Diceros bicornis minor: one gene and its partner. The protein of the gene in region 2 interacts with the protein of the main gene of each other region in a biochemical or structural test. Links are inferred from orthologs where the notes say so. Each region holds a gene or a part of one and is shown on either strand. Other genes may lie near its edges. The genes, in order: C-reactive protein-like and CFH.

What was found.
Region 1: the proteins of CFH (region 2) and C-reactive protein-like form a complex in vitro, tested with the Homo sapiens proteins (12 studies listed by BioGRID and IntAct, with this or other methods). The link is inferred for Diceros bicornis minor from reciprocal best matches to the Homo sapiens genes CFH and CRP.

The regions. Positions count from the first base shown.
Region 1 is NC_080767.1:30,176,494-30,186,894, reverse strand, and holds C-reactive protein-like, read right to left. Parts: upstream 4,595-10,401; coding exon 4,531-4,594; intron 3,923-4,530; coding exon 3,318-3,922; 3' UTR 3,289-3,317; downstream 1-3,288. UniProt on the Homo sapiens protein: Displays several functions associated with host defense: it promotes agglutination, bacterial capsular swelling, phagocytosis and complement fixation through its calcium-dependent binding to phosphorylcholine.
Region 2 is NC_080777.1:25,514,853-25,526,855, reverse strand, and holds the start of CFH (complement factor H), read right to left. Parts: upstream 4,658-12,003; 5' UTR 4,616-4,657; coding exon 4,558-4,615; intron 1-4,557. UniProt on the Homo sapiens protein: Glycoprotein that plays an essential role in maintaining a well-balanced immune response by modulating complement activation.

The DNA of each region.
Region 1 (10,401 bases), on a different chromosome or scaffold from region 2:
ATTGTCTCTGCTCAAAGGAAATAAGGAAGCCATGTGGAAATGCTTTCTCTTTGAGCCTGACCTCCCAGCAAAATGTCCATGGAGTCTGGATTTGTACCGCGTAGTTAGCACTTCCAAAGCCTTTGCTCTCAGGGGTTCATCGGTGACCCCTGTGTCCTCCAGCCCTGCTGTACCCCGGCCACCACCTTTCCTCAGATTTAAGTTTCCAGGCCTGCAGTGACTTGGGCTATTCAATGATGCAGAGAGCTTTCTTTCCACCTTCTTTTCCTCAGAAGTTTGACCTGATGCTTCTTCCTCTAACGTCCCACTTCCTTTCTCTCTATGGCTCCCCTGTTCTTTTGAAGCGAGCCAGCTGCTGAACTGTGAAGACTGCAGCCAGCTGCCCACACTGATCCTGCCCCTTTTACTCCCTGTAGGGCAAACATGGACCAGATCACAGTATCTTCCTTTCCTTTTCCACTTGCTGTTGTTTTGACTATAGAATAAAACCTGTCTTTTAAGTTGATTTCATCCTCCCGGAGTTTCTGATGTTTTCCTAAAAATTCGAGTGAGTTTTCTGACCACGTGCCAAATTCTGAAGCCTCCTCACCCTCTCACTGTCTTCTTCATTCTGCCTCTAGCAACTCTGGTTCCTGCAGCCACAAGCATTCCAGGCACAGGACAGGCCTTTCAAATGTTCCCCTTATCCTATAAGTTTGTGATAATTTTCATGATTTATTTTCTCCACCGTAAGCTGACACATCACCCAAAGAATTGAAGTCTCCCGTCTTCTACATCTGCTCATTGATGGATCCCTTCAAGCTACTGGGTCTCTGATCCAAAGCCTGGGTCTTTGAAATCCACAATCATGATCAAGCTAACAATATTATTAGTAAATCATAGATAACATTCATTGAGCACTAGCTATGTGGCAGTGAAGTAGGCCCTATACTACCCCCATTTTAAAGATGAGGAAATCTGAAGGATACAGTATTTTAAATAACTCTCCCAAGGTCACACACCATTAAGAGATGGATGGAACCAGGATCTAAACTCAGGTAGTCTGTTATTTTAAACCCTGGTTAAAAGGTTGTGAGCAAGTAGGAGGGGGCCTTTAAGAAACTGCAAATGAGCCATACAAATGTACAGATTAGACCTTCAACAGTCCCTCTTTGACCTTGAACATGAGTGAAGCATATTGAGAGGAACAGTATCTAGTTCTGCCCATCAGTGCCTGTCACCCACAATACAAAGGCCAAAGAGTCCAGGCATCAAGACTCAGTTTGTTTTGAGTGAACCTACCCCAGTTCCTGGGGAACTTCACAATTTTTAGAGTTGGAACTCTTGGATAAGCCTGCCCCGGTTCCAAGTGTAAACACCATCCCCACTGATAGCAGACCCTTCATGCTGAATGTGAGAGATTGTTCACCAATTTGTTACTGCTCTGACAAGCCTGAAGTCCTGCCCAGGTCACCTTCTGCTGCTTGCAGGTAAAGAACCACAAAGTCCAGACCTCTCAATAGAGGAGCTTCTTTCTCTCTTCATGGTGCATTTAGAGCTCTGAGGGGACAATCTCATCTCTTCTTCTGTGGGTTCTAAAGGAACTAAGAAATAGACATAGGACTCAAATAAGGATCACAACATTAGTCTTGTGGCCGGCAAGGAACCCTGCTTGGATTTAAAGTAAGAAAGGCCTTTCCAAAACTTTTCCCCTCCAGATCTAAGCTTCAGGCCAGAGGAGCAACAAGAATCCCTAACTGCTTCACATCTGGTGGAGAGCGAAGGATTCCAGAGCCCAGGGAGAGCTGTCACATGCGTGTGAAATTTGGCCCCTAAGCTGTGAACCAATGGAGGTCAGACATGGGACGTGGTACCCACAGGATAAGTCCCTCCTCCTCCCACAGGGAGGAGCCAGTCAGAGGGATATGGAAGCTTCCCCAGCCTATGACCTTCTCCAAAAGAACCCAAGACCTGGTCTTGTCTGATTATGCTGCTATTATCAACTGTGCCCTCCCTAGTACCCTGGGTCATTCCATTGAGAGAGAAATGAAGACACAAATATCTGAAGAAGTGCACCTATGAAAGTCTGGGACAATTGGCAGAAATTGGTGGAGATCCGATCACTTAAAAGGAGAGTTGCAGGATGTCAGGGCTGGGGCTACATGACTAGAAACTCCTAGTAAACATCAGTCTACCAGCCAGCTAGCTTAAACTGTCAGGGAATCTAATTGTGGCCGCATAAGCAGGAAGGAGACTCAGAGAACTCACCCCTCACACTATATTTGAACAAATAGAAGGACTGAAAAACTAAAATATAAAAGAAAATTATTTAAAGCATGTAAAATATTTACTTCAAAAAAGTTTAATCACAGAAAAATTTAGAAAAAGTTAGGCATCAACTGCATTAAACTCTCAAGCAAATGGAAGAAAACAGAGATGTATTGAAAGATGAGAGTTGAAAAAAACATACTAAAGCCGAGAAAGAATTTAAGACAACTCAAAAAGCACTACAGAATTTTAAATGGCATTAGAAATAGTAAGGATCCCAATATGCCAAACAGAAAAACAAATCACTAATGTAAAGGATAGTTTTGAAAAAATAAAAGCTCAAAACATAAAGATATAGGACACAGATAAAAGTAATCTGAGTGATGATAAATGAGAAGGAAAAATAATAGAAATCTCACATAATGAAAATTGGTGATCCTGAAGAAAAAATAGAACAAATTAAACAGAAACAACAATAAAACATTTCTTTTTAGATTTTTGAATCTTCAAATTGAAAGGATTAAAGAATTAAAGATAATTCTAATTTATAATGACCACATTCCGATGGTGGGGGTAGAATGCTGGAAAAATTATATTCCTGTATTCTTTAGATAAATCAATAAAGCACAATAAAATGGGGTGGGTCTGTCTATTAAGGGAAAGGAAAATGTTGGCAAGATTACAGTTAAACACATGCTGTCTTTTAGGAGAAAAAAACGTTGGCTCACTTGCTCCTAGACACTTAAAATGCAGTGGTTCTCAACCTTTGCTCAACACTGGAATCACTTGCAGAACTTTAAAAAACATTGATACTTGGGGCTTGCCTCCAAAAAATCAGATTTCATTGGCCTAGGGTGTGGGCTGGTAATTCTAATGTGCGGCCATGAATAAGATCCTCTGCTCTGCACTGACCCTTGTGATGATGAAAACAATGGAGAAGGGAGAGGGAAATACAGTCCCCCCAGGGTGCAAGAGCCATGTATGTATGATAATAAAACACCAGAGCCAAAGACAAGGGAAATGTAAGGTGTAATACCCAAAAGGCAACATCAGGATGCAACAAAAAGGCCTCAGGACCACAGCTGGGGCTTGGTGAACACTTCACCATGCACTGTATAATTCAGTGCCCGCCAGTCCAGGACGTTAGGACTGAAGGTCCCACCATCACAGATAGTGCTAATCTCATCTGGTGACAGCACAAAGTCCCACATGTTCACATCTCCAATGTCTCCCACCAAAGACTGTTTTTTATCAAAGCCTCCAGCAAAAGAATCCTGCTCCTGCCCCAGGATGATGCTTGCTTCTGTCCCCAGATAATATCCCCTCTTCAGACTCCTCCTCACCATGGGTTTCCCATCTACCCAGAGCTCTGCAATCCCTGAGGAGGACTCCCAGGTCATACAGAAGTGCATTGGTGCAGAACGTTCAGGAGGCTTGAAGATGATGTCAGTTCCACCCACGGTTACACTGTATACTCCATTCTTGCTCCTGAAGAGGAGGATGTCATTATATTGCGCCCTTGTGGCATAAGAGAAGAGGCTATAAGCACGAGAGAGGTCGGTATAGACGCGCAGGCACACGGTGAAGGCTGTGAATGGCCTCCTTAGCTGTGCAGTCAGAGTCACAAAGGAACTATTTGACTCTTTGGGGAACACAAAGGCCTTTTTGGACATGTCTGTAGGATAGAAAACAGAGAGGGAAAATGTCAGCAGTTGAGCTTTGTTAAAAAACAAAATTCAAGTGAGTAAATCTAAAGATCTAATTGGCTTTATTTGACGATTCTTGAGGCAGGCAGCGTCCGGTCTAGCAGAAAGAAGGAGCTTCGAAGAGCTGTACAAAATGAAGGCCTTTTATAAGCAGAAGGGGGCAGGAAGAGGAAGTTTCTAGCAAAGAGTGGATTATTTCAGGCAAAGTCACCTTCCTGTGGGGGAAGGAAGGGGTCATATGGAGTTACCTCACTACTGCTGGTCAGGCAGTTCCAGGTTAAATGTCACAGTCCTGAAAGAGGCTGAAACTGCAATTAGTTTAGGTATTAAGTCTTGGTTTGTTGACATGGGGCTTAACACAGTGACTCCATTTTGGGCCTGTTGTCTCTTTTTTAACAGCTCGTTAGCCCACAAAGATGTATTCTCTCACTATATAGAGAGATTGGATTTAGAAACCAAAGACTGCCTTCTTCCCCAGACCATACCCCCTCCCCCATGCTGGCCACTTTCCCTAACTTGGCTTTGCACAGTCTAACCCTGAGACAAGAACTTGGCTACCATCTGAAGTAGTGCCTACCTTTCTGGGCAAAAGCACTGGAGAGGCTGATGATGATCAAGAAACACAGCGACAGTTTCTCCATGTTCCCTCCCTGCTGTCACTGTACCTAGAATCTGAGTTATCCTCCTGGAAAGAATCTTAGCAGCTGAGATTCTGGGCTTGGACCTCTGAGATCCCTCTGTCTCAGGTCTGCTCCATCTTGACCTTATATGTGCAATAGTCAGAGTGTCTCAACTGACAGGTAAATGATTTTCCAAAATTGCCACTTGCAGCCATGGATCAAAGCTCTAAGAGCAAATAAACCAAGATAAATCACAAAACGAGAGATCAATATGGGTTGTTTATTAGAGACTCCATGGTGTCTGCTCGTGCTCCAACAGCTCCGTGTGGCAATGCTTAGGGAATTAAAACAGTCACATTCTGGGAATCCATTCTGGGGAAATGCCATAAAATATAGGGAGGGGGGACACTTTATTCACAAAGACAACCATAACATTACTTAGGATAGTGAAAAATTAGAAAATTGGGACATGTTTAAGTAAATTGTATATATCTACATCCACTAAATAGAACGGAAAGCCATTTAAAATACGGTTATGAATTTTAAGCTACAACATGTAAAAATGCTTATAATACTATAATGAGAGAAAAACTAACACAAATTTGTTTATACACTATTTTTTAAAAGAAGTTACTAGCTTAGAAAAAAACTATAAGGAATACCCCCCAAACAATAAGTGTTTTTATCATCGTAATGAAATTATGGAGGATTTTTTTCCCTCATTAATAACATTTCCTTAACATGGTTATATTACTTCTAAAATGAAGTGTTTGTGTGTGTGTGTGTAAGAAGCAAGGAAAGGGGGAATGAAGATCAATAGTCCTTGAAGCCCCAAAAGCTACTGTTTCATTTTACAAATAGAACACCCAGTTTGACTGTGGCTATTGGACTTGACTCCCAGAATACCTCAAACAGAGAACAATATCAGTTAGACACACTGAGGTATATATATAATTATATTTAGGTACTAAAGTACTTTGCAATATACAAGTTCCTGTATAACATTATAAATTCATGTAAAAAGAATCTTGAGCTTATTCACATGGCCTCATCACGAGTTTTCCCATTGGTATTCATTGAGAAATTAATAATAGAGGTTATTTCTCAATTGACTGGAAGAACCCACTAACATGTGGGTAGCATATTCTAAACACACAAGAAAAAAGAACTATTACAGATGGTAGTACATTTCTGGAAATGTTTGTTTTTTAATGATGTACAGTTAAGTTTTCTTTGTAATTACTGTTTCTAAACTTTTTGTGTCTTAAACTATAAGATTGGCTTAAAGTAATTGCTTCAAAAGCTTTTCTTATTCTAAACACTTGCCCAATAAAAGATATATACATAATTTGAACAGAAAAAAATATGTAACAGGTGAAAAGATTGGGACAAAGAAGGAAGAAAGTGTTTTCTCAGTACCCAAATTGCCTTCTCGTTAGCAACGAGCTCCCCGCATCAAAAGAATGTAACTACCAATATGATGAGTGGACTCTTTGGAAATATTATTGATTTCAGGGAGCTCACCACATTACCAGAACTATCTCCAAAATGGATATTCTGAACAAGGCTTAACACTGAAAAAGAGAGAGATAGAGGCATAGAGACATAGAGATAGGGAGAGGGAAAGCTAAAGCAGTAGAAAGAGAAGAGAAAAAAAATAGAATAGAGAAATTGAGAGATCTTCCCCTTGAACCATTTCACAATCTACCCCTGGTTCCAGCTACCTGCCAACACAGTACTGGAACTACTCACATATGACAGAGCATTGGGGGAACTTTATCAGGAGAGAGGTGTAATAAATATTACCCTCACCTCAGATGTTTGCTTGGGAGTCTTCTCCTCTTACAGCTTGCCATAATCCAATAAACATACCAAAGGATCGCAGCTTTTCTAGACATCATGGCGCTTTGGTTTCTCCCTGATTTAAAGCCCCAGTAGGCCAGACAAACACCTCAGATTGCAGAGATCCAAAGTATCAACTGAGGAAAAAGAAAAAAACATTCTAAGACAAACAGAATGTTTGTTATCGTGGTGCAGCTTTATTGAATAAATAAGAACATGGTAAATATATGGTTATCACTTTACTTAATCCTAGAGCAGCTATGACTCTAGACCCCAGTGTTTCAATAGAGAGTTTGGTATGCTCCCCCAATTCAAACAAAAACCACCAGCACATGAGGAAAGGAGGAAGCAAGAGACACATCAGTCGGAAACAACCACACAACCAGTCAGAGACAACAACAGTCTTTTCAAAGCTATCACTCAGATAGAACAGCAGATTCCCAGCTTCCACTGTTGGAGAATTGGCTGCACACTGTAATCCCCTAAGGAACTTCAAAAATACTGATGCCTGGGTCTTACCACAAGAGAAACTGGTGTAATGATCTGGGGTGTGGCCTGGGCAGCTGGAGTTTTAAAAGTTCCCCAGGTGATTATATTAGCATCTAAACTTGAGAATCGCTGACATAGATAATTTCTCATATGATTCCATGCCATTGGTGAATACTTCCTATGATATAAAATTATGTCCCAAGCTATACATGACATTGGAAAAGGTGGGGGTTTCCAAGTCAAAGAAGAACTTTGACAATGTGTCAAGGGCATAGTCTTCCTAATGTTATGTTGATGCTGAAGCTGCGGAGTATATCTGTGTGTATGTCATTTTCCTCAACATAGAACAACAAAATGAAAAGTTGGAAGATTCCCAGTTTCCCAGAAATGGTAGTTAACCCTCTGAATATATGGCATCTTGGAATGGCTTCCCCATGAGAAAACATGCACACATCCCATACTCTCCCTCCTCCCCTAGGGGTATAAGTGCAGTGTGTAAGTTTTTGTTGCATGTGGCAGTAGAATACAGTGGTTAGAAGCACAGGGCTCTGTAGCCAAACTACCTAGGTTCAACCCCAGCTCTGGGCAAGTTAATTAACCTCTCTAGATGTCAGTTTCCTTATCTGTAAAATGATGGCTAAAAAATGGTACTTACCTCATAGCATTGTCATTAAACACACAAATATACGTAAAGGACTTAGAACAGCGTCTGGGACATGGCAAGAGCTCAGTGCATGTAAGGTATTGTTAAGACTGTCTGTGATCCGCCCTGTGTGGTTAAGCAATTATGATCCTGGGAGCAGTGATGGAGACTTATGAGATCACTCGTCTGTGAGTATGAAAGGACGTAGGGTAGAGGGGATCACACTGAGTCCTCAGAGAATGCACCAGCGGTGGGCCAAGGGAATAACCTGAGTCGAGATGTGCTAGATCCTTCTTTAAAGATGACCACCTGCCTTCAAGCTTATTGGGAGCCAGGCATGTCTGCTAGATGAGCCATCCGAGCTGCCAAGAAGACCCTAAAGCGATGGTTCTAAAAACATATTGGGCAAAAGAGCTTGTGAATGGCAGATTCCTTGGCTCTAACGCCAGAGAGTGTAATCTAGTAGTTCTGGGATCAATGAATCTACACTCGTAATAAACACTCCACGTGATGATGATGCCTGTAATAGCAGGCCACCATTTAAGAATCCCTGGAGCAGGCAATCCAGGAAATTTGAGATGGGAGTCTGCATTTTCTGAGGAAGAAGGCTAACAAGGCCACTTAACCCACCTTCTCCAGGAGACATGAAAAGATGCACAGATGTGACAGAGGTGGAGAACTGCATGGAAGGAATCCAAGCAAGTTATATCAACCCGTCTGCGACTAGAGGTTGGTTATCTTAGGATCAAACTATTTAGAAATCAAAGCAGCGTTTCTCTTCTTTCCCTGGGATTCTAAGGATCAGAAATCTATACTTTGGAAACTTGATTTGGGTATTTTTTCTTGTTGTTTTAATGATCTGGAGTCATTTGTGTGTGTGTGTTTGTTTTTTGTCAATCCTTGCTTCCCTGGGGCACATCAAATGAGAATAGTGAAAAGCATGAGGAAAAAATCACAGACTTACCATTCTACCCACTTTGTCAACTGGGACTCCACAGCCATTTCCATCTGGCCCCAGCTCCATTTCTGGGGCAACCTGTAGTCTCTCCTCCAGGCCCTGAATAGACTACAGAGATGGATACTTGTCCATTCATCTGGATAGGGACAATGCAAGGCTTGTCACCATGACCAGTGATTTGATATTTCTGCCTGACAGAGGGAGATTTTAGGTGCCTGACGTGCACATCACCATGTTGCATCTGGTGCTAAAATGCTCACATTTGGGTCAGGCTTTGGCCCTGAAGGCCTGGCCCCAACTCTCATACCAACATGCCTATTTTCAGCGCCCAAAGGAAAGTGTCCTATCAGGTAGCAGCCTCCAGCATCTCCCTATGATTGTACATGTACAATCTCTGACATATGTGATTGGTCTACCCCCTCTTCCTTGGCTTGTAAATGTACTACAGTATCTCTTCAGGTGCTGGGCCACTGCCTTTATTGCACCTAAGATTCATTTCACTGATAGAAGTGCATAAATCCATTCTCCTTACCTCCTTTGAAGGAAAGAAATGTTTATGGTCTACTATGCATGTGCCCTTTGTATAGTTTACCCCATTTTTCTCAAGGAAGCCCTACACAGTGGCTTTTATTGTTGGTTTTATATACGATTTGGCCCTCTGTTTTTTAACTTAAGCTTTAATGCCTGATTCTACTTCTAGGCAAACTGGATGCATGATCCCTGCTATCAAGAAAAAACAGTGCTGATAACATGGCTTTATTAACATCAGCTAGAAGTGGTCTCAATGGACAATGGATCTTATCCATTTACTGTGAAGAAGAATTGCCTAGAACCAACTCGCCCAAACCAAAATCATCCTCCTTGGCAGATGTCACATAACATTTAATAGGAATTATGTCTAACCATTCTATATCATGCAACAGACCAGTGACCTGGGGATATATTTTCTAACAAGATTACATTAAATTATCTACCAGTAAGCTAAATTGTCTAAATTTAAACATTCTAGAAATGCTTTATTGAGATATTTTAGTGTTCACTGAATGCAAATACTAGCTTAAAAATTTTCCTGGCTAAAATTATTAGAGCCAGAGGCTGTCCACTAAACTATGTATAGTAAGGTACCAGTAATTGAATTCTGAGGAAAATATTAGCTCAGCCCACATCCCTGGGGAGTTGGGATGGTCTTCTACAATTAAGACATATTTCCTAACTGGATTCTTTAACCAGAAAAAGGTATTGACCCTCTCTTATGCTTAGCTGAATGTCAGGGTGTATGGATCTGCCCTAATTGGACCACAGAAAAATTTTGCACTCACATTTTTGCCCAAGAATGTATCTTTAACTTATACGCTTCCAAACGGTTATCAAAAGTCAATTAGGGGAAACAATATTCATAAATAATTACCTCAAAGATTTGTTGTTCATCCTCCTAATATTCTGAACTTAATTTTTAGCAAATCAGACCCTTCAACCGCTCTCAGCCTGGACCAATTCCACCAAGTTGTACTTTGATGGCATATAATGAACCTACGTTTAGCAAGATAATACAAAACAGCCTAATAATAATAATGATAGTAGATAACTATTTTGAGAGCTTACTGGGTGCCAGGGACTACACTAAGTGCTCTACATGCATGATCTTATTTGATTCCTACAACAACTCTTTGGGCTAATTACTATTATTCCTTCCCCACTTAATGATGTGAAAACTGAGACATAAACAGGTTATGTCACCTAAAGTCACATAGCTGGTCAGTTGCAAAGCCAGGATTGGAACTGAGGCAGTTGGATTCCAGATCCTCTATGCTTAACTAGTCTAACATATGCCTTCTCTAAAGCAACTATTTGATATACAGGCAGCCCCATATTTCACTCTTGGCTGTGACCTCTGCT
Region 2 (12,003 bases):
ATAAAACACAATAATCATTCTTTTCATTTTCCCCACTAAGTGACCTCCTTTTGGGAAGTGCTAGTATAGTGCCTGGTACTTAGCAGTCACTCAAAACATGATAAGTGAATGAACAAGTGAATGAATGAAAGAATGAATGAATGAATATGAAACTATTTCAAAGCTTTTCCGTTACATCTGTAGATCATGGGCAACATGTGGAAAGGGCACAGTAGATGGTAGCAAATGTAAAGGATAAGAGAAAACAAGGGAACAAATGTTTAGTGCACTTAAAGCTCTGCTGCATGAACCCAAGAAACTCTAACATCTGTAATTCCATTGCACATCTTGTCCACACGTCTGTCCACACGTCCTAAGTTTGAATCTATGTTATACTTTTTGAAGTCAGAAATCCTTTTAATTTAGCTCAGAAAAACTTTTGGGAACCTTTGAAGGAACATTTCTATAATACTTTTCTATTTATTACATTTCTGGTTAACAAGGTTTATGAGAAACTTGGCTCTTTCAGTTAAAATGTCAAAACAAACAAAAGTGTTCTGTCAAATCTTTTTTCCCCCTTTCCTTTTATTATTTTTGTGATTTTTTTCCTGTCCCATTACTTTGCTTTCTCTGAGCCATTTTTATAATGTTTCGTTATAGTGTTAAACTAAAATGTAACACTTTCTTTTTCAGTTACATCATGTCCTTTTTATGCACTGTGTTCTGGGGCTGGTTAAAGTTGTTAAGAAATGGGTAAAGTGCTTATTAGTTAAGCGAGCACAGGACAGATTGGTTGGCAGAATCTCACAGGCCGGGCAGGTGGGGGATGTTGTGTGGGGTAAGGAGGACGAGGCATAGCTGGAAAGAAGAAAAAGTGGCAAAGGCTGTAGAATAATCAGGAATTGAGCAAATAAAAATGGGGCAACTTAGACTTTGGCTCAAGCCCTCAAAATCAAAGGCCAAAAATGAAGAATCTTTGCTAACTTGTGCTTTAACTTATATTTGGGATCTTACTCCTAGCTAAGAATAATTTTAGGAATATTTAAATAATTCCATTCTAGTTTAACATTATATGCAGGCAAAAGAGTAGAATACGCATTCCCAGGCTATGCCTACACTTAGAATAAGCAAGGCTGGCTTTGGCACACCTCTCCCTCTCTTAACATTCCTATGCGCATTTTCTCTACCCCTTCCCACAGCGCTTGCCGTAGCATTTCATCCATCAGATCTAACCTACCTGGGAATAATTCCTCACCCAGAATTGCTGGGTCCTGTTCTTACCCTCCTCATCATCCAATTCTACCTTTCCCCACCAAAATTGTTGCAGAAAGGTGAGCAACTTACAATAATTCACAGTAAATTGTGGTGAATCATACTAAATTTAATTATCCCAAAGTATTTATTCAGAGTATTTTTCATTCCACATAAACTTTGGATTGGTTGAACTTAAGGTAATATCAATGTGTAGGACATGTTAGAAGGAGAGAAGATATTGAAAACCATTGGGCCATTGCACAATTTTAATTAAACCCTATAGGTAAATACCCACACTAATATTTCTGAAAATGTGGGGGTTTGAGGGGGGAGGGGGGATTCTTATTTATCATACTGGAATTGAAACATAGAATTTAGGATTATAAACCACTATCACAAGTTTTATGGATTATAGCTATACATAATATTCACATATATCCTTATAAAAGAGTAATTTTTATTAATTTATAATTAATTCTTATGATATTCATAATATCAATTCTGTTTTTCCATATTAGGATTAATTTAAATTTGAAGCCATCTTGTACTTGAAACAATATAATATATAAAAAAAATAAGTTCTCCTCTTCTGATGGAATAGAATCTCTCTCTCTTTGATCTGTAATGTATTTCATGTCCTGAAAGAACTTTTTTTCCCTTTAAACCTCCAGAATTAAAAAACATCTCTCTCCAAACACCACAGCCAGTGTGTACTTGGACATGTTTCATTAGAGTTTTAATTTACTCACTTTAATCAGCCTAGTATTTCTGGGCTATGGCTAATTGCAAAGAGTATACACTTTTTAGACGCTAAATCTAAAAGGTCTACTTGAAAAGTTTGGTTGTCATATATTCCAGAAAGCAGAAACTATGTGGTATGATTGAGGAACTGTTATTCTAAACTTTGTCCTGTGAACCTGACCAGATTCTTAATAGTCTGTTGCGACTCCCCCAGCCATGATTTTTTACCACAAGAAAGCAACCAATGTTCCTGTACCACTAGGAACGTGAGTGCAGACAACCTATTGCATGAAAAAGGTAGTACTTGGTCTTCAATATATAAAAAAAGGAAAAAAAAAATAGAAAGTTGGATTTTCAAATTCTTCCTGTTGGCAATTATTCCTCTTTAGTAGTGAATAATATTTTTGGTGGAATGTTCGCTCTTAACAGGGCAGAGGCTATTTACGAAAATGCTAAAATGTTTTGTCTAGTTGAAGAAGGCAGATTGTGATAGTGTTCAAAACTGTCTTTTTTCAATTTCTCCATTTAGCATTCAGTATTCAGTTTGGTATCTCTCAATATCTCAATTTAGTATTCCATATTTATTTCTACATATGAAATAGAAACAGAGGCAAATGTTGAAGTATATGTGGACATTTTTAACGATCAAGGCTGCTCTGTTGAGTAAAATATCCGTTAGGTATGGTAACTGATGCAGTTGATTGACATTTCAAACTAATTTCGTTTCAGAACTATTTGGCAAACAAGGAATAAAATAGCAGTTCTATATCCACTGAAAATTCATGTAATTTTTCTCTACTAGCTTATGAATTAGATGTGTTTTTGTGAAAATCATGAGGCTAACCTAAGTGTTGCTTTAAATACTAAAGTTGTACTTTATCTGTTAGGAAACATCCAGATTTATAGTCATTTTCACTATAATATGTACAGTGCTAATGCTCAGCTCACTAATAGAAACTGATATCTCATTTAAACATACATTGTTGAAATATAAAATACAAGTGAAATAAGTCAGCAGGAATCAATTACATAAGCGAGGGGTTTAAATCACTATTGTTTAATTTTTATCATTTATACTTTGTAGCACCCAATTTTAATAATGTTTCAAATTACACTTTTTAATCACTTCAACAGTTTAATTAAACTTGGCATCAATACTTACTAAGTTTTAAACATGAGCTAGAAATAAAACAAATCTTCCTTGCATGACAAATTTCTACATAAAACCTCAGCAAACAATATGTAAACAGTGAAACGCTAGAAGTATTCCTACTAAAAGAAAAGACAGAAATACTTATGTAAAGAAAAATATGTTTGCTAAGATTGGTAACATTAACATTGTTCCAGAAGTCTTTGCCAATACAACAATATTTTACTTTTAAATACTAATTGTAATATTTATATGTACAGGGAAATGATTGTATACCTAGTTTTAAAAAGCGGCTGGATATAAAGCTTACAAGCTAAAAATCAAGCAATAGCATATTAGAATGTATAATTGCAAAAAGACTCTATCTTTCCAAAAATATTAAACACATTTGAATAAACTTAAAAAAATTACTAAAGGATATAACTAAAAAAAGATATCTGCCTTTATTTTCTAGGTTGAAACACCCGCAAGCACAGAGGTTTTGTGTTATTTGGTAATATTTCTCAATGCTTAGAAGCTGACATGATGTAAGTGTTCAATCAAAAGTTGTTGACTTAGTGAAAAGTTCTGGGAATTTATGAATGATATCTAATTCACTTGGTTTGAAAATATCAATCAAATATCTATCACATAGTTAGTTACCCATCATGAACTAGGAAAGAAAATTTCCTCCAAGAAGAAACTTTTTAATAAATGGAGAAACAGTGCTAGAATTAAATTTAATTATGAATTCAGAAATTTTCTTACTGATATCAGAAGAAAACTCCTACACTCATATTAACTACTCCTAAAGGCTAGTCTTCTAGAATATATCTTATATACAACTGCAGGAAAAAACCCTACTGAACAACTTAGATGTGACAAAGATTGCATATTTAATTTTTTTCAAATTTATATAATATCATCATTCGAACGATACAAGTAATGCTTGTCTACCAGACTTTTAAGGCCATGGCAATATCAGTCATAGACGATAAATGAAATTTAGAAAGAGTTAACAGCTATATCTGAAATAAATCCAATCATATGATTTAAAGGCTTTTAATGTCTAATTTATGTTCTGGTTCTATGTATGTTCACATACTTCTTAATACTTTCACATAAAGCATTTTGGTGAAAATTCTAAGCAAAAAAATTATATTTTATGAAAATTACAAAGGAAATGATTATGACATTATAGTTTTCAAAAATATTTATTCAAACATTTTCTAAAAATTTTCACTAAATAAAATTATGATGAATAATCAGATATGTCATCCAAGTAAGCTATTTATATTTTTTAAACTTAACACAGTCAAAAGCCGTGCATAGACTAAACTACAGAACAGTAATTCACATTTTCTAGATCAAATTTTTATTACCACTGTAAAAAGCATATTAGCAAATGTTTGATAATATAGCTATAGGACAAAGTCTTCCCCTTTTACTCTTACCTTGTGCTACACAAATAGTCCATAACATAAGCCACACAATGTTTGCCGGAAATCTCATTTTTGGGGTCTTTTAGGGGTACATTTAACAGCTGACACTGCTCACACTATGTCAGGTTCTCCTCTGCTAAGAACTGCGATTAGGGCAGGAAATTACTTGCTCCAAAAGGAAGTTGAAATGCAGCTTGAGAATTAAAAGGATTACTAGATGCTCCGCCCATCAGAAACTTTTCAAAGTAAAAGAAAAAAATCAACCGCAAGCCCCAGCAGTGTCAGAGTTTGAACCGGATTCTCACTGCATTCCTACGGAATGTTAATGCTGGACCCACTCTGGATTTGTTTTTATAAACCCAGGCATGTTCTCCGTTGGGACATGTTCAGATTCTTGGAATGTGCGAAGCAGTAGCTGGTGATATCCTCTGGATTTCATAAATCCTCCAGTTCTTGAAACTCCTTTCAGGTCTTGTGTGTCAACCTCAGAAGAAAAGTAATAGGACTCTTTTAAAAATCATTAACAGAACTCGAGCTTAGGCAATGCTTTCACAATCATGACCCAGACAACGTGAGTAAACTTTGCCAAGAACGCAGTACTGGCTGATTTTGGGGGCCTGCTTTTCCCACAATTCATGAAATTCATCTTCTAAGGACTTGTTAGATACGTCTGTAAAGCAACTGGCTCACTCTCATTAGACATAAGAGTTTAATAATTCAAAAATCAAGAAATTAAAATGCTAATTGTTTTAAAACTTTGTATTGAAATATAATATGCAGAAAGAGAATATAAGCAAGTGGTTTGCTGAATATCAAGAAGGTAAAGACTACCATGCAACCAGCACCAAGGTCACGAACTGAACAGCACTATTTCTCTGGAAACCCCTAGTATTCCCTTTCTGTCAACCTCCCTCACCCGCTCCCCCACCACACACAGCGTAACCACTACCCTGATCTCTAACGTATGGAATAGATTTGCCTGTTTTTGTACTTTATATAAATCAAATAATAAGATATTTACTCTTATGTGTTGTGGACATTAATAAAAGAAACCTGAACTAAATTGGAGTTGGGAAGGCCCATAGAGGGAGTTCTCACGCCCCATCACACATCCTCAATTACTCCGAACAGGAAGAGACAGGCCCTTGCATCTTGGGCAGGAAGTAAAACCACTTTACTACTGAAGGAATATTTTTCTCACCACCCAGCAACAGCTCAACCAATAAGAAGGCATTGCTGCCCTGAGCTGTTACTTTCCCCCATTGGATTTTCATTTAGGACCGCCCCTTCCTACTCCCTTTTTTCTCTGTAAAAGCAGCGCTCCTTCTTTGTTGGATTTGCCCATGGTTTGCCATAGCATGTACATCTCGAATTGCAATTCTTTTGGCTGCTCTGAATAAACTCATTTTGAGATAAAATAACAGGCAAATTTTGCTTTCTACGTTTACAGTGTTTAGAGCTTTTCACTAAAAATGATGTTTAGGTCCTTCAACCACACTATTGGGTGTAGTTGCATCTCATTGATGTCTTGTAAGAATGAAAGTTTGCTCCTGTCATGTGTGATCTATTGACATGAATGAAGATACCATAACACTTATGTCTCTACAATGAGGACATTGAGAACAAACTAGTTACAATATCTCAGTTCAAATAGTATTTGATATTACTCACAACACAAGAACTCTTTTAATGCCCTGAATTCTTGTAGTTCATTATATCAAGAAAACTTGAGTTTTTCCAAAATTTGACAACAATCCTAAAAATTTATAGGCCATTATAAATCATGAGTTGTGAACCTGAAGAGACTTTTCTAATATTTCAATAACAAGTAACAAATTTAAATCAAATATGCTAAAAACTGAATTATTTTTCTACTTTCTCTATATTGAAAATACTAGAAAATTACACCATGTGAAGAGAAGCTCAAGAGAGTATTTAGCCAAAAACGTAAAAATTAAAGGTATCATAGAGTTGTATAAGACAATATACATATTATGTTGTTTCTGGTTTTTATGATGTCTTTGGTATTTTTTTAACTTTATAATTTATAATGATTTATTTCTAATTTTAACTTATTTTTTATTTATAATTTCAAATAAATATTTACTTTCAAATCTAATTTCTGTTCGCAGTTTGTGGTCTTTTCCTTAGAGAGTTCTGTCCAAATTGCATGCCACATCCAAAAACCTGGATCTTTCCTGATTAACATGTAGTATTAAAAGTGACAGGTAACAACATAGGTCAGTCTATACTATGAAATCTATAACACCTTAAGGCATCTTATGTAGTCCTAAAGAAATATTTTGAAGGAACGATGCTTTGTATCTTTGATGTCACGTGCAACTAATCACTGCATAACAATTTTTCTTATTGGTTTGGAATGGGCAGTTAGTAGCTATGGCTTCTGAACCATTGTCCACAAATAACTTATTACATTGAAATTTAAATTTAAGTTAACTAAATTAACTTAAATTAATTTAGTTCTTGACTTCCACTTCTGATCAATGTAGAACAGAGGTCCTGGATTTATCCTTCCACCTGAACAACTAAAAAGAATCAATAAACTGACAAAATGGATGAAAAAGAGTTTTCAAGATAAGGGACATCAGGCCATATAAAACAGGTATCTCTGAGAGATGGGAACTGAAAGACTTGGGCCCCATGATTGCTCCAGTTTATTTCCTTGAGAAAGTTTCTGGTGTTGAGGAACCCGCATAGAGTCAGATAGCTTCCCTAAGTCAAGGAAATGGGGCAGGGAATAGCAAGGTAGCTCGAGTTTGTAGAACAGAGTACTGGAGAGGAGGCAGCTGCACAGAGAGAGATATTCACAGAAATGTGGATTATTCCTGCAAGTATTCATATTCAGCTGAGTTCTGATTAGTGACTGTGTGCATATGAGAAAACTATTTAAAGACAAAAAAAAAAAAAAACACTCATGAGGAAGGATGAGCAACAATACTCCTCAATTCTTGCACAGGGCTGAGTATATTGCCAGTTCCCACTAGCAGACTAAACAGTTAGAGGGCACTGAAGGGTTTTGTTCCAGTAGTTGAGGATAGTTAGCTCTAAGCTGAGCACTCCTCCACTCTCACCTAATAAATATTAAAACCAGAGCCAAAGGGTCCAACTAACCTAACTTAACTGCATCCCAGAACAAAACTCAAGAATATTTATAAGAATTTTTTTAAATCCAGAATCTAACAAAGTAAAATTCAAAATGTCTGGTAACTGACCAAAAATCACCAGGCATGCAAAGAAGCAGGAAAATAAAACTCATATTAAAGATAAAAATCAATAAATTGAAACTGACTCAGAACAGACATCAATGCTAGAATTAAAAGAGAAGGACATTATGACAATGTTTTAACTGTATTTTATATGTTCAAAAGTTAAGTGGAAGCATGGAAGATATAAAAAAGATCCAGAGATGAAAACTACAATGAGTGAATGAAAATTATAGTGGATGGGAGTAAAGATAGATTAAACATTGCAGAAGAAAATATTAGTGAACTTGAAGAAATACCAACAGAAACTATCCAAAAGGAAACATAGAAATAAAAGAGAATTAAAAAATGAATGAAGCAGCCAGCCCAGTAACATAGTGGTTAAGTTCCTGCACTCTGCTTCAGTGGCCCAGGGTTCGCAGGTTCAGATCCCAGGTGCAGACCTACTCACCGCTTATCAAACCATGCTGTGGCAGGCATCCTACACATAACATAGATGAAGATGGCACAGATGTTAGCTCCGGGCCAATATTCCTCAGCAAAAAGAGGAGGATTGGCAACACACCTTAGCTCAGGGCTGATCTTCCTCACCAAAAAAAAAAAAAAAAATGAATGAAGAGAGCATCAGTGAGATGTAGCACACATTCCAACTTGAAAAGGAGGAGGGATGGAAAAATTATTTGAAGTTATAATGGCTAAAAATTTCCCATACTTGATAAACTTACAGTTCCATGAAGCTCAATGAACCCCAAGCACAAGAAACCTGAAGAAAATTACACCAAGGCACATTATAAGCAAACAGCTCAAAATCAATGATAAACAGAAAGTATTAAAACTAGCCAGAGAAAGGAAGACACATGACATACAGAGGGTAAGGGTGACAGCCGATTTCTTATTGGAAGCAATGCAGGTGGGAAGAAAGTGGAGCTGCATTTTTAAGTGCTGAAAACAAAAACACTGTCAACTTAGAGTTCTATATTCAGTAAAAAAAAAAAATCTACGAGTATAAAGCTAAGAGAAAGACTTTTCAGATCTATAAAATCTCAGGAGTTCACCACCAGCAGATCCACACTACGAGAAATGTTAAAGGAAGAATTCAGGCAGAAGGAAAATGATACTGCATGAAAATATGAATCTATATGAAGGGATGAAGAGTATAGGAAATGGAAATTGCGGCTACATTATTTACCGTGTGTAAATAAAACCCCAATAAAGCTTTCTTTTAAAAAAATCAATTCTTCAGTCTCACAGTCACATTTCAAGTACTCAATAGCCCCATGGGCAGTGCCTATGTTGCACAGCACAGGTGTAGAGCATGTCCATCATCACAGAAACTTCTATTGGATGGTGCTGTGTACATGACGTGGTGGTCTGAACTCAGGGCCCATTATGCTCTGAAAAGGTATGAAAAAGAAGGCAGCATTTTCCATAGGCTGATCTTGATATATATTCAAAAAGGAGGATATGAAACAGCATCATAAATTCTCAATAATGAAACTCGTAGATACATCTGATAGGTAAACCAATCTAATTTATTTTTAATAATCACAGATATCAGTAGTATAATTCACATAGGAAGATTCAGTCATCTTTTACTCAATGTGTGATTTTTATTTTCCAGTTGTCATGGTTTGGGTTTTTCTATCTGTAACCTCACAAAACCACCACCACCTCGACTGACAGCATCACTACTAATGCAGAATACAAATTACAGTTGCAATAAAACAAGAGAAAAATTGTGAAGAATCAATTTTCCTTTCTCCAATTAATTCAAACCAGGAGCAGCCTGTCATTTTCTGTCACTATTTCTTATTTGAGGTCAAATTTTCCTCCCCTAACTGACTCAGAGGTGTAACGGTCTTCTTTATGTCCTGATAGAAAGAGCTTAAAACCTCCTGACAAATTTCCTTATTATCTTTCCTCCTCTATCACATGAAAAACAATGTACAAATTACCCTATATAAGCATGGCCTAAGGTAAAGGTCATCTTTCAGATTTATTTTAAAATATCTCCTCACTTACATGGAGAAGCCCTAAACATTCTAGAGTTCTCTTTCCCACTCCTTAGGAGGCTAGTGCCTTCTTCCCAAAGGGACCCTGCTAGCAAAACCCAATTTAATAATTTGAATGGAAGTGAAGAACAATGACTCCAGATTTTGTTTAATTCTAGTTGTGAGGAAGTGAAAACACAAGGACCTCCATTCCTATTTATTGCACTTATTTTATTAGGTGCATTTCTAAAACTGGATTGCAAGCTCTTCAAATAATGCAGCCCTTTAGAGGAGAAAGAAAAAAACCTGCCATCTCCTTGGCAACTTCCTCGGTCAAATTGGAGCACATGCAGAAAGCTTTAAAAGGCTTCAGAGAAAATTGGTTCTCCTTTCCCTAAACCAGCTGCCTCCTCTAAAGTCCTCTTTCCCAGGTTCCTAGGCATTTATCCTAGGGTACAACACACGATATACCGCACATTTCTGAGTCTTTTCTAGGCTATATTAAAAATCTCTGAGCAAAGTCTCTTGTCTGACCCTGCACTGACGTGGCTTTAACCTTCCAAGCTCTACTGATCTTATAATAATTGCTGATTAATGATTCATTTTTGTGTGTCTGGTGCTGTATTAAATGTATTATCTACTTTAAATCCTCATAAACCTTATCAGATAATTCTATTATTCCCTTTTTACACATAGGGAAGCTGTGACTTACTTAAGTAGATTAGAACCTAGGCTGTCTGGTTCCACAGTTGAACATTTGAACACTACGCTTACTGCCTTTCTGACTCCAAGTTCTATATTATTCCCAAACTTTGTTACCAATTTTTGCTCTGGACTGAGGAAACTCTTAGAGCTGGTCTTTTTCCAGTCTCTAATGAGGACTCATAGGAACGCAATGTAATATTTTGTGTAATGATGCTAAGCTGCATTTTGGAAGACTATAATTTCTTTTTGTAAATTACCCTTCTAAAAATACCTAATAAATTATGCACTGCAAGATAGAAGTAATCATTTACTGGGGAAAATAAAATAAGTCCTGCCTATGATGTGTAGTTAGTTGCAAATAAATGGTTATTAATGCAGTTAATATAACCATTTAGGTAAGCTTATATGTCATCATTCAAATGAAATTCAAATACAAAATGATACTTGAGAGTTCACATATTTAAATTTTGACATTTATTCAACAATCAAAAGGAATAAAACATATGTAAAAACCACACTGGGTGCATGACCAGGTTTTAGTAAATTAGATTTATATCTAATATATATTATTTATTTTATTTTATATTTTTATTAAATAAATATATATTATTTATTTTATTTATATAATATCAAAACAACATGATTGCTGCTGGTTCCATTGTTAAAGTTTTTATTCTATTAAGAAATCCAATTAATTAATAATCATTACATCTTTAATAATATTCCTATTTAATGTCATCAGCAAATCAGCAAAAAGACATTTGATTGTAAAATACAAACTTTTTTCTTTCAGATAGTCTGAGAGAATAAGATATCATTCACAAACTACTTCTCAAAAAAACCAATTTTAAAGTAATTTTCTCCAAAATTTAATTTTATAGATATACTATAATTTGAAAATTAACTCACAACATAATTTCAATAAACCAAATGATGGAGCATATTCTTAATTCATTGGGAGCCTCCTTAATAGTATTCCAGTTTTTATTTTTCTGTCAGGAAAATGATTAGAGATAAATTTGAATGTCAAGATTATGAAGATCCCTTTCAATTATATATAAAATCTATTTTTTTAACTGTTCATAGATTAAAATTGTCATTTCTTAAAGAGTACAGTGTAAGGTATTATATATAAAAAAGATTGAACTGTTGAACAAAATAGTCAATTATTCTTGTTTCATTTGTTATCTTTAGTCCTATCTCAGTAGTGGTCCAAACTCAGGCTTATTGTAATGATCTATTTTGTGGGACACAGGGGTAAGAAAAATATCTTGAAATGGTCACAGCATTTAATTTTAAAAAGACATTAAAGTGGAAAAAATTGGCTATACTAAGACATTCCTATGATAAGACTTGCAATTAATAACTTTTTTTTGTTCTTAAAAACAATGGTGAAAATCGGTTAAACCTATTCTTGACAAAAAACCAGGTGCTGCTAGTTGTTGACTCAACCCCTCTACCAGCAGTATCTAGCCAATGGCAAACACAGCACAGGATTCAGGGTTAGAGGGGCCAGATAGAAGTGTTCATCAAGTCCT